Drosophila melanogaster: one gene and its partners. The protein of the gene in region 1 interacts with the protein of each later gene in a pairwise test. Each region holds a gene or a part of one and is shown in the gene's direction. Other genes may lie near its edges.

What was found.
Region 2: the proteins of ncd (region 1) and CG14043 interact in a two-hybrid assay, tested with the Drosophila melanogaster proteins (one large-scale study listed by BioGRID).
Region 3: the proteins of ncd (region 1) and CG13476 interact in a two-hybrid assay, tested with the Drosophila melanogaster proteins (one large-scale study listed by BioGRID).

Annotation. Positions count from the first base shown.
Region 1 is NT_033777.3:29,803,766-29,808,923, reverse strand, and holds ncd (non-claret disjunctional), read left to right. Parts: upstream 1-1,796; 5' UTR 1,797-2,297; coding exon 2,298-2,520; intron 2,521-2,579; coding exon 2,580-3,217; intron 3,218-3,276; coding exon 3,277-4,518; 3' UTR 4,519-4,634; downstream 4,635-5,158. Other genes in the region: ca (claret), read right to left, coding at 1-455, 518-1,119, 1,322-1,589; CG7789 (uncharacterized protein), read right to left, coding at 4,638-5,158. UniProt on the Drosophila melanogaster protein: Minus-end-directed microtubule-based motor protein. Has ATPase activity. Required for normal chromosomal segregation in meiosis in females, and in early mitotic divisions of the embryo.
Region 2 is NT_033779.5:4,969,888-4,974,258, forward strand, and holds CG14043 (uncharacterized protein), read left to right. Parts: upstream 1-1,814; 5' UTR 1,815-1,924; coding exon 1,925-3,727; 3' UTR 3,728-3,800; downstream 3,801-4,371. Other genes in the region: Polr1C (RNA polymerase I and III subunit C), read left to right, coding at 1-259; l(2)05714 (lethal (2) 05714), read right to left, coding at 325-897, 1,167-1,409; mRpL28 (mitochondrial ribosomal protein L28), read left to right, coding at 4,250-4,270.
Region 3 is NT_037436.4:14,703,695-14,706,657, forward strand, and holds CG13476 (uncharacterized protein), read left to right. Parts: upstream 1-1,769; 5' UTR 1,770-1,849; coding exon 1,850-2,299; 3' UTR 2,300-2,463; downstream 2,464-2,963.

The DNA of each region.
Region 1 (5,158 bases):
AGTCGGGCTCTCGTGGCGGGCAGAATGCCATCCATGCTGCCCGCTGGCAGCTGTTGTTGCTGGAAGCGAACGCCGCCTTGGTCACCGGATTGCCTAGCCACTGCCTCACTGTACGAAGGCGGCGCCGGTGGTGGAGGCACGTCTGCAGTGGCTGCCTCTGCGGATGCCGAAACAGTGGACGGGTCTGAGTTGGCTGCTCCTGGACCACTGCATACCACATCATCGCTGGACGGAGGCGCGAACACATCCTCTTCCAGTTGGCTACTGTCCGAGGCCGGATCGGAACTATTGCTTTGTCGGGCGCCTGTCGCCGCACTCTGATGCTTGTCCTGCACGGACATCACGATCTGCCAGGCGCCCTCGCGGGTTGTCGGGGAACTGTCTCCGGGATAGACGTATTTGATTGCCTTTTGCTCCAGCAAAAGTTTGTACTGCTGCTTCAGGGAGGAAGTTATCTGAAAGACGGTAAACCATATTCTATCATCTGGAAATCTATATTAGTAGAATAGTTCCTTACCAGCAGCATAACACCATCGTAGGCTTTATCTTTGCAGATAACCAGGCGCATCACAGATCCGTTTTCGATGGCAGTGCTCGCAATCATGGGGCAGTTGGGACTCAGGCCCACAAAGCAGATGGAGCCATCCGAGTAGCCGATAATGGCCCTATTCTGTCCACTGTTGGTCTTCCACCAGACGACGGACAAGGGATAGGGGCAGGTCTTGGACGCCATGAAAGAGGCTGCCATCACCTGGCTATTGCCGGTGGTATCGATCGTCTGCTGCTGCTGCGGCAGTGGCTGCACTGCATCCTCAGTTCCGCTATTTCGCACCAGCATGTGCTCGGGCAGGTCGTGGCCAAGAGGCTCCTCCTCTTCGCCTTCCTGCAACCTGGCCTGCTCTAGGTTCTCAGCCAACTGATCCATTGGCTCCGCCGTGGACTCTTCCAGACCGGTGGAGTGATTGGGGCACTTTTTGGAGTTGGGACACTCGTGGGGGCCCACAAAGGGGATGATGTAGGAGGTGACCTGGGTGGTGCTGTAGAGCGAGCAGGCGGACAGTCCATGGGCCTTGTCCACCAACGCCAGGGCGGGCACGATGTGCAGTGTGTTGTCGAAACCTGTTGACAGAGCAGTGGATAAGTGGTGTTTGAGCAAGGACTCCATTCGATCGTTAAATCAAAACAAAGGGGAGGCAGCAGAAAATCAATAACCATACACGCACACATGGGGGCAAAGTAATTTTAGCAGCACCACCACAGCAACCACCCACCCAACACAAAAAAGTGGGTGGTGCTCATGCCATCATACGCTGAAACTCACATAGCACCAGCAGCCAAACGCCCGCCGGATCGAAGCAGACGTCGTGGATGACGCGGTTGCGGAACCAGGATATCATCTTGACCACCTCCTGGCCGGAGGCGGCGCTTATGTAGCGCAGCAGGATCTCGTTTTCCTCAGAAACGAGGCATAGGAACTGTCGCTTTTCGTCCAGCCCCGCTGTCACCGCGGACAGCTTGCAGCTGATGTTAGTGATCAGCGGGCGCAGCTCGAACATGCCCAGCTCCTTGAGCTCCGCCTGCCCCGACATCTCGGGGGGATTGGCGGACGTGGGGGAAGCCAATTTTAAAATTCACAAAATCAGTTCGATGGGAACGAGCCTTTTCCAATCCGAATGAAAACAAACTAGAGATGGTCGCGTGAGACCTGCGGCCGGTCTGGCAACGACCCGATCACGCAACTGCTTTCCAACTGGAACGCAATTTCCACAGCTTTTTCGAGGCAACAAATAAATTTCAGAATAGCGCGGCCTTCCTTCACACCGCACAAGCTCGCAAAAAGAAAGCAAAACGCTTTCAAGAAGTTCGCCCCGGATTGCCGCAACCGTCCGGCAACGACACTAGTGCTGCGCACAAGACTTCACTCTTCAGGCTGTTGAACAGTCCGCCGCGACTTTTCCACAAAATGAACGGTTCGAATGCAACAGCCACCGTATTTCACACCCGCTTGGGTGAGTTTCACGCGCCGAAAACCTGCGGGATGCACGAGTCAAGGCGAAAATTTGTGCCCGAGGGCCAAAGCTGCAGCACTGAAAACATCTGATTGACAAACTGGAAGTCGTCTTGGCTGGCAACGCCGTACTCTCCCGACAAATGGTCACACTGCCCCAGAGCATCCCTGCAATCAAAAATAACGGCGGGAATCGACGGCGTCGCTTGTCAACAACGCAAAACTAATTGATAAAATCGGTTGCAAGGAGGCAGACGTATCTTCTAAGTTAGGCACAACACAGTTGGCGATGGAATCCCGGCTACCGAAACCGTCGGGCCTGAAGAAACCCCAAATGCCGATTAAAACCGTGCTGCCCACAGATCGAATTCGCGCAGGATTGGGAGGTGGAGCCGCTGGAGCAGGCGCCTTCAATGTCAATGCCAACCAGACATACTGCGGCAACTTATTGCCGCCCCTCTCAAGGGACCTCAACAATCTGCCCCAGGTGCTGGAGCGTCGCGGAGGAGGAGGTGAGTAAAGAAGCATCCTTCCAAAGAATTCACCTTAAGTCCTTGCTAATTTCCGATAGCACGTGCCGCCTCCCCAGAGCCCATGAAGTTGGGCCACCGGGCCAAGCTGAGACGTAGCCGTAGCGCTTGCGACATCAACGAACTGCGTGGTAACAAGCGCACTGCGGCTGCTCCTTCATTGCCCAGCATTCCCAGCAAAGTATCCCGCCTGGGCGGTGCACTCACTGTTTCCAGCCAGCGACTAGTGCGTCCTGCGGCGCCTTCGTCAATAACAGCAACAGCTGTCAAAAGACCACCAGTAACGCGTCCTGCTCCACGGGCTGCAGGAGGAGCAGCCGCCAAGAAACCAGCAGGAACAGGAGCAGCAGCTTCGTCAGGAGCCGCGGCTGCTGCTCCCAAGCGCATCGCTCCCTACGACTTCAAGGCCCGCTTCCACGATCTGCTAGAGAAGCACAAGGTGCTTAAGACAAAGTACGAAAAGCAAACAGAGGACATGGGCGAGCTGGAGTCCATGCCTCAGCAACTGGAGGAGACGCAGAACAAGCTTATCGAGACGGAGTCCTCGCTGAAGAACACCCAGAGCGACAACGAGTGTCTTCAGAGGCAGGTGAAGCAGCATACCGCCAAAATTGAAACAATCACATCGACGCTGGGCAGGACCAAAGAGGAGCTATCCGAGCTGCAAGCAATACATGAGGTGAGTACTCAAGTAAACAGAAACCCAGGTTAAATGTAACAACAATGTGTGTGTTGCAGAAAGTAAAAACGGAGCATGCTGCTCTAAGCACAGAAGTGGTGCATCTGCGCCAGCGCACCGAGGAACTCCTGCGCTGCAATGAGCAGCAGGCCGCCGAGCTGGAGACCTGCAAAGAGCAGCTCTTCCAGTCGAACATGGAGCGCAAAGAGCTGCACAACACGGTCATGGACCTGCGCGGCAACATCCGGGTCTTCTGTCGAATACGACCGCCGCTGGAGTCCGAGGAGAACCGTATGTGTTGCACCTGGACCTATCACGACGAGTCCACCGTGGAGCTGCAGAGCATTGACGCACAGGCCAAAAGCAAGATGGGCCAGCAGATCTTCTCATTCGACCAGGTCTTCCACCCGCTCTCCTCGCAGTCGGACATCTTCGAGATGGTCTCGCCGCTCATCCAGTCGGCCCTGGATGGCTACAATATCTGCATCTTTGCCTACGGACAGACGGGCAGTGGCAAGACCTACACAATGGACGGAGTGCCGGAGAGTGTGGGCGTCATACCGCGCACGGTGGATCTGCTCTTCGACTCCATCCGGGGATATCGCAACTTGGGCTGGGAGTACGAGATCAAGGCCACCTTTCTGGAGATCTACAACGAGGTGCTCTACGATCTGCTGAGCAACGAGCAGAAGGACATGGAGATTCGAATGGCCAAGAACAACAAGAACGACATCTACGTGTCCAACATAACGGAGGAGACGGTTCTGGATCCAAATCACCTGCGCCACCTCATGCACACGGCCAAGATGAACCGTGCCACCGCCTCGACAGCTGGCAACGAGCGCTCCTCTCGTTCCCACGCGGTTACCAAGCTTGAGCTCATCGGACGCCATGCCGAAAAGCAAGAGATCTCCGTGGGTTCCATAAACCTGGTGGATTTGGCCGGCTCTGAGTCTCCCAAGACGAGCACCCGGATGACCGAGACAAAGAACATCAATCGCTCGCTATCGGAGCTCACCAACGTAATCCTGGCGCTGCTGCAGAAGCAGGACCACATCCCGTACAGGAACTCCAAGCTGACGCACCTGCTGATGCCCTCGCTGGGCGGCAACTCGAAAACGCTTATGTTCATCAACGTCTCGCCGTTCCAAGACTGTTTCCAAGAGTCCGTCAAGTCGCTGCGCTTCGCGGCCTCCGTAAACTCCTGCAAAATGACCAAGGCCAAGCGGAATCGCTACCTGAACAACTCGGTGGCCAACAGCAGCACACAGAGCAACAACAGCGGCAGTTTCGATAAATAAAGAATGCATTCTGAGCCCAGTTTTAACAATTTTCAAATTTCTAACCTGTTATTGCTTAATTTATGTGTGTTTACTTTTAGTGCAAATAAACTAATAAAGTGCTGGAATTCAAAGCTATCTCACTTGGCTCCCACTGCTGCCCGCACCTCGGCGGGAATCTTTTCCACCAGCGCGGCATGGTCCTGTCCCAGGCTGGCCAGCACTCCCTGTCGATTCACGTGCTCCACATCCGCATTGTAGGCGTAGTGCTCGCCGTTGATGTTGGTGAGGCAGCCGCCCTGGGCCTCTAGAACGGCCTCGGGTGCGCAGGTGTCCCACTTCTTGCAGCCCGGCGTGGCGAAGACGTACGCGTGGGCCTTTCCCTCCAGCAGCTGGAGCACTTTGAACCCAGCGCCTCCGACTTTCAGAACTTCTGTGGATGCGAATGCGTTGAGGGCTTGCTGATGCAGGGCATTGGAATGCGAGCGAGTGGTGGTTATGATGAACTGGCCGGCTGGCGCGGGGACTGCCGTGAATCCTCCCGTGCCCAGACCCTTCAGGCCCCAAATGGTGCGACCCATTTCGCCATCGGGCTGTTGGTAGAATGGCTGATGAATGATGCCGCCCACAGCAGCATCCTTCACGGCTATGCCGATCAGGA
Region 2 (4,371 bases), on another chromosome or scaffold:
CTGTTTCTCACCAGGAGTAATTGGCATTGACGAGAATGAAACTGCCTATGTAAAGGATGCACGCTACGACACGTGCAGCCGAAATGTGTATCGCTATCCCCAGCTAAACGACGCTGTGACTTTGGCCCGTATCCGAGATCACTACATTTTCTCCGTGGAATCAGTCGGCGCACTGAAGCCCGATGTCATCTTCCTGGAGGCGGTCAAGGTATTGAAGAGAAAGTGCCGGGCGCTAATTGACGAAATTGAGGCAGAATAGTTATTTATTTAGTTGTTAAAGAAATTATATTATGTACATAAGACAGCTTGATATAAATTGTAAGCCTACGAAGATCGTGCTTGCTCTCTCTTGCGCTTGAGCACCTTCAGGCGAAATTCCGTTAGGACCACCTGCAGACGCTCCTGGCACATTAGTGCGTCCTCCAGGTCCATGTTGTTCAGCTGCAGAGCCAAACTCTTGCCAAACAAGTCAAATTCACTAATAATGGTGTCTTCCGTCATCGCGTCGACTTGGTATTCGTTATTAATCTCCGTATCTTCCGGCTTGAGCTGTATCATCTCTTCCTCGTAGACCACCTCTTGGTCCTGGAGATCTGTTTCATTCTGTTGTACTTCGAGGAACTCGTTCTCAACCTCAAATTCTTGCTCTTGATAGGGCTGATCTGTTCTGAGTAAATCATCCAGGATTGAGTCGTTCGAGGCGATTTCGTCCTCCTCCGTCTCCTCCTCCATGCTCTCCACCTTCGTGTCGTTCTTGATCTTTGGCTGCATTTTGCTCCTTGGCTTTTGCCTTGGATAGGTCTTTGATTTGGCTTTGGGCTTTGCTTTGGGTGAAATTATGGAGGCCTCCAAGTCTGGGTCATGCTCATCTTTGACAAGTTCACCCTTAATCATATTCTGTAGGTATAAATACGGAGTTGTTAATTTTATGTAAATTAGTAATGAGATGAGAATTTTTTTTTTGGAGCGATAAGTTGTGCATCGCATAGAGGGAGCTACTGGTTTGGTTAACCATTGCACAAGAAGTAGTCAATGGAATAGTTAACGAAAAGTATGGCGAAAACTCACACAAAAATCGTGTTTGAAATTTAGTTTGGATCGCAAAATATTTGAATCAATAATGGACACGGGTCATTCCTATTGCTTATGCACAAACCCAATCCCACCTTGGCAAGAATGTTGTGGTACTTGAAACTTTCCTGGTGTTTCCGCGTTGCGAGGTGCTGCTTGATGGACGCTAGTCTGGCGAGGACATTGATGTCGCAGATCTTGCAGTGCGCCGAGTAACCGTCATTACTAGACGCCAGCCAGCTGGAGAGCTCCGGATATTTCTCCCACTCTGTGCGATAGCGTTGGTGGTACAGTCGCTTCACCTTCTTGTCCTCATCCGTCTTGTAACCCTTCAGCATTGTGCCCGCTTTCGGATGAAGCTTGTCTGATTTGTGGAAAAGTATTCTTTGAAAGATGAGCGCCAAAAGCAGTCTTTAATAGCTGATGGTGGTAAATATTTTGGTATATTCCAAAAATTTGCGACGCGAAAAAAATCTGAAAGTCGATGCGGTGTGACTGTAATCGAATACGTTATAATACCAGCAATTAATTCCAGGGTTGCGACATAGAGGTTGCTGCGCAACGGTCACACTAAGCTGTTTTGTTTATATAAACATTTTATGCCTTCAAGTTTATATTAGAGGCGTTTATGGTTGTGTTATGTACTTTTTGAAAATACCTTACTTGTACATAGTTCAAATTAATTTAGTTTGAGATTTTAAATAAAATATTCTTTCATGGTTTGGGTCTCAGGTAAAGTTTAAGCAGTCACAATACGGCCACACTACACACTCATAGAGAAAAAATATAGTAAATAAAAAGGCTTTGCCGAATTCAGGATAGCTTTTGCCTGCACCGTGGGTGCTCAGCCAACATGGTCATTCCAAAGGAGATCCTAAGCGACTTCAAGGAGCTATACGAGAAGGCCAACCGTCTGGTGGAGGAGGAGAGCCGCAATGATCCGCCCACGGATCCATTCCGCTCCCATTATAAAGCGCGCGATGTGCTAATTGTCTTGAAGAAGCAGCTGGACGACCAACTGGTATCTGTGCAGGCCAGCGAGGAGGACGGTGGTCAGGACGATCGCTGCTATCACTCTCTGTTGGCCTTCGTTTGCCGGGATCTAGGCAGGATCTACATCTACACAGAGGAGCAGGCAGAGGGCGAAAAGATGCTCAATCGTTGTCTGGAACTAGTCACGCCGTTTAAGGAGTGCCCTGAGGGCATCATTCCATTCATTGGGGCAATCAACGAGCTTAGCATTGTGCTGGCCTCCAAGGAAGAGTACAATAAGGGACTGGAAATTCTCCTGGAGGCAGAAAAAATCTACGAGGACTTCAAAGCCAGTGGTCTGAAGCCCCTGGCCATTCAAGATGTGTTCAATCCTCCGGAGGAGGGACAACAATCTCACGAAGCTGGTCCCAAGGAACTGGAATCCCTGTACACGCTAGTCTCATTTTACATGGCGCAAATGTACGGGCATTTGGGTGAGCCGGAAAAGTCGGCCAAGTGCTGCCATCGCACCCTCCATCGACAGCTTGAGTCAAAAACATACGATCCCATTGATTTCGCACTGAACACCGCCACCTTGTCACAGTTCTATATTGGAGAGAAGCGCTTCGAGGAGGCCCGTCATCACCTGGCCGCTGCTACGCTCATCATGGCCGAATATGAGGTGCACATGCTGGAGCCGGAGATGAGCGAGAAGCAGCGCCAGGACGTGTCGGAGACCTTTAAACATCGCTACGCCGATGTGGCACGCTGTTGGGCCAAATATGGATTGTATTTAATGAACACATCCAAGCTTCGGCTGATGCGGGACGAAGATGACGAGGATGCCAAGAACCTGGAGATCGTTCTGCGCAATATGCGGCTGGTCGAGGCGGAACAGTCCCGGTTTCCTGGACTTGACCTCACCGCGTGTGAAAATCGTATTAGTTGTGAATACTGCCTGACCTTCGACGATGCCAAGTTGGTGTTTCATTTTGTGAACGAGTGGCTCGACATAGCCAAGGACTATTACAAGGCCGAGAACGAAGCTACTGAGTATTCAAAGATAATGCAGGATTACGCCGAAGCGTATGAGCACATTGCCTTCTTCGAGGAGAATCCAGAAAACCAGGCCAAGATGCAAAAGCGTCGCGCCAAGTATCTGGAAGATCTTTTGGATCTGCTTGACCCCATCTTTTACATGAAGATATGCCGAGAATGCTGGTATGGAGCCGGCACAGCTCATGCTGCCGTGATGGATGTCCGTCTCGACATCATTCGGGCCACTAGCACGCCAGCGCCGGAGGACATCAAGAAGGTCAATCAGAGCTGTATGAAGGCCATCAAGCACTTTGAGAGCTATGTCAAATCCTATCTGGTCAAACCGCCCAGCGAGGAATGGCGACCCAACATGGACGTGGAGGAGCAACGCCACATGCTCTACGCCCACTTCCACATCGGTCGCATCTACTACAAGCTGATCAGTGGCCATCCGCTCCAGCAGCTGGAGCACCTAACTAGTTGCCACACCTACTACCAGAGATTCGATGCTGGTTGCCAGCTGCACAAGGAGGCGGCCGAGACGCTGCAGGGCGAGATTGGTGTTGTGCGTGAAATGCTCCAGCTGTTGCCGCTCAAGATAAACACGATTAAGGCCAGGTTGAACAAGGCTGGGCTAACCGCGTGAGAATTTCCAAAAAATTAATTGCATTTGCTAAAAGCTTTATACGTAGTCAAAATAAATCGCGTTTCTTTCAAGGATATTTAATTGTTAATACATTAGTAACTTACATGTTACATTCTGATAGCGAAAGTAAGCCGCTTTTCGATTTTAATTGCCGACAGCATAAATTTATTTCTTGCTACTCGTGAATGGTACTTATGCCGGAGTATGGCTTGGCGCACTGTTTCATATATTGATTATAATAAATAAGTTGAACTACTTCGAAACTCAATTTTTTGCCGAGCATTTCTAAATTTCACAAAACTAAATTGAACGAAGCTCTGTCTCCGAAATACTTTTCAAACCTGGCAACCCTGGCTGCCAGCCATTCACATACGAACAGCTGTTTTTTCCAAACAGGAAGAGGAAGAGCGCCGTTGGCCTAGCCAAAATCAGGGAAAATATAGTTTAATAGCCAAGTTTAAACTGCCACTATAGTTTTAATAGTGAATAATAACAGTAAACTGCTAGTTCGTTCCTTAAAAAATGGCACACGCCACGCCACAGGTATGTGATTGCCTCAAAAATAAAGAGGAAACTGGTAGTGCGCCGCGTTTCTGTGACGCAATAGCTGCGTTAACTTTCGTAAACCCCATGGAATAACAAAG
Region 3 (2,963 bases), on another chromosome or scaffold:
CCGAAACTTGATAAGCAAGCACAGGCAGAGAAATAAATAGTCCCTTTTCTTTTCAAGCCGCAATAAATCACCTGCCAACCGCACATCAATTTTAGAAAGCTCCAAATGGGGATGCAAAATAATCAAAAGCGCAGAACCTTAGTTAACTGCTATATTTCAGCCAATCAATCAAACTGGTTTCAATTATTTTTTCATACATATTCAGGTTTATAGTGTTTATATGTAAGGTGTTTGTAGGTTCTTTATTGAGGCAAATATATATAAAAGAAAAAAAATAAATAAATAAGGTACATTTTGAACTTCACTATAAACAAAAGTCAACACGTCCTTAGTCTCTTAAATATGAATTCGACTTTAAAATCGAATAGTATTTGCAATCCACATCAGAAATAAAGTTCTCTTAATTCAGACTAACAAAAAAGATTGATGTTCTTATATATGCATTCACATAAGTTCGACATGGAAGAAAAAATAATCGGAAAATTGCCAAAGCTTCTTCCTTTTCAAAAAGTGTTCTGCATTTGTGTGGGTATAAACGTGTCCTTGTGAGTGTCTGCACTCATGCATAGAAATAAGCCGATAAAACCCTGACAATTGTGTCATGGAGTAGCGTTTTAGTTTTGGGATTGGACTTAATGCCTCTTGACTTCAATTTGCATAGTCGGCTTAGCAACGTTCGTGCAATGATTGAATGACAAATTGATAGAATTCGGCATTTACCAGTTGACAGCTAAGGAAGAGCTTTTTCCGGTCGGAGGAAACGGAAGAAAAGTTAAACCGATGATGGAGATTTCAGTTCAAATTCTGTTTGAGCATGATTTAATTATCGTGCCGGTTAAAAAGGACTTTTCATTTGCCTACAACAATGTTCACAACGAGTTGCGCCTTTTTAATTATAAAAATCAAAATTCATGAAAAGCTCTTAGAATATAGAGATATGATCTTTTAGTGTTTAAATCTCTTGAATGCGAGTATAACATAATATATATATAAATAGGCTTTTCATCATCACATATAGATGATTTAATCCTTCTTCTCCAACAAAATTTTAAGCCATTCCCAACAAAGTTGTTAAATTGTTAACAAAGCGAACATTTTCACTCAAAAAACGCCCCTATCGCATTGACTCTGACCTAGACCGCAAGCCGTTTAGATCCCGCAGGACTTCCCATTAATCCAATTAGGGCTGAACATATTTGCTTCTCATTAAAAATGAAATCCTTTGCTTTGGACCGGAATCAAGAGCTTTGACCAATTACCAAGCGTTTTTTCATTTACGTTCGCACATTCGAAATAAAAAATTAACCAGGAAGGTCGCAGATAAAGGCATTGACAGAGCAGCTTAGAAATCTCTTTGTCAGCAACTTAAATGAAAATTAAGACATCTGCTTTCATTTAGCTTAAGTGCTTATCTTGCGAAGGACGCAAAGGCAAAGGACACGTTTGCCCACAGGACAATCAATTATGAATGCAACACCGAGCACCATCAGCTTGGCAAAATAGTCTGTAATAAAAGTTAGGTTCATGAGGAGTGCGATGCTTTTGGGCGGCTAATGATGATAATTATATGTTTTAAGTGACATTGATTTGTCGCCTTCAGGATGGGCCGGGAAATTCCCATGATGTTTAATTCATTAGCCAGCTAATCGGCTTACTCTGATAATTAATATAATTGATGTCAGTCATCTTATTGTAGCGCCACCCAAGCAGGCTACTCATTCCCAGTTGCCTCTGTGTCATTTCTATGGATCTAAAATAGGTTTCCCAGTACTATTGACGCCCTGAAAGTAATCAGATATTCACACATAAAATAAATTCAAATAAAATCTGTATATTTTGTACGCTCACAATGAACATGAGGGGAATGGCCAAGCGTTCTATTTGGCTGCAATGTCTTCGGGAAAATGCCACCAATATGCGCCTGGAGCACGAGGATCTGGGACGTCGCATTGCTGTTTCTTTGGCCAGTTCCCAGAAAGCTCTAGTTGATATCGAAAACTTGAATCAAGAGCTGTTAAAAATGAAGGACACAATCCATAATGCCATTTCCAATGTTATGGGCTACGAAAAGAAGTGTTGTGAATTGCTCCTGGAAATTTTGATTAAAATAGTTGAGAACAACGACCTGGATGCCGAACTAAATCCCAAAATGATCTCCAAGGCGTTTCTCGACTTGGATCCGAGTTCCGACGAGACAGAAGTTCTGAATGACCGTAGTCTTGCAGCGTCTGATTTTAATCAGCAATATCCAAAAGATGTGCCGGATTCTATTGATATAAACATAACAGAAGACCAGTAACCATTTTAAATAGGATCCAAGACCGCACCAATTCGATTACTAACGTCTTAATTTAATGCGTTGTCAATTCCACCTCACACATTTAAAAGGAATAATAAGGTGGTCAGGGCTACAAATGTTTTATATTTTTTATCGATTCAATTAAATTTGCATGGTGAAATGACAAAACCCATTGTCTCTTTCTTCAGTTTATAGTTGTGGGAAAGTTTCTAAGACGTTCGAAATGTTAAAACCCTTGAAACGAAAAAACTTAGGATGACCATAAAAATACAAAATTATGAACAGAAAGAAAAGAGAAAAGCACGCCAACATCCGCACAAATTGTCCTGCAGAAAAGTCAAGACAAAATCACGTATACGCACTGTGACAACCCACAGCCTGGGTTAAAGACAATCCCAACTGGTAATCCAAGTCGTGTGCGTAGCCAGCATCCATGTTCCTAAACAATTTGTCGGCGATTTGTCGGCAAACTTGAGCCATATACGCCACACATACGCACCGAGTGAGCCATATTGCACATACGCCCCGTGTGACCCACAGAGGAATACAAAGAGTAACGAGGTTAAGTGACCCAACCAGCAAAACAACCTGTTGACTCAGGCTCTCTGCTCTCTCACTCAAAGCAAACTCACTCATCGGTGGGTTTGTTTTGCTCCGCTCTTTC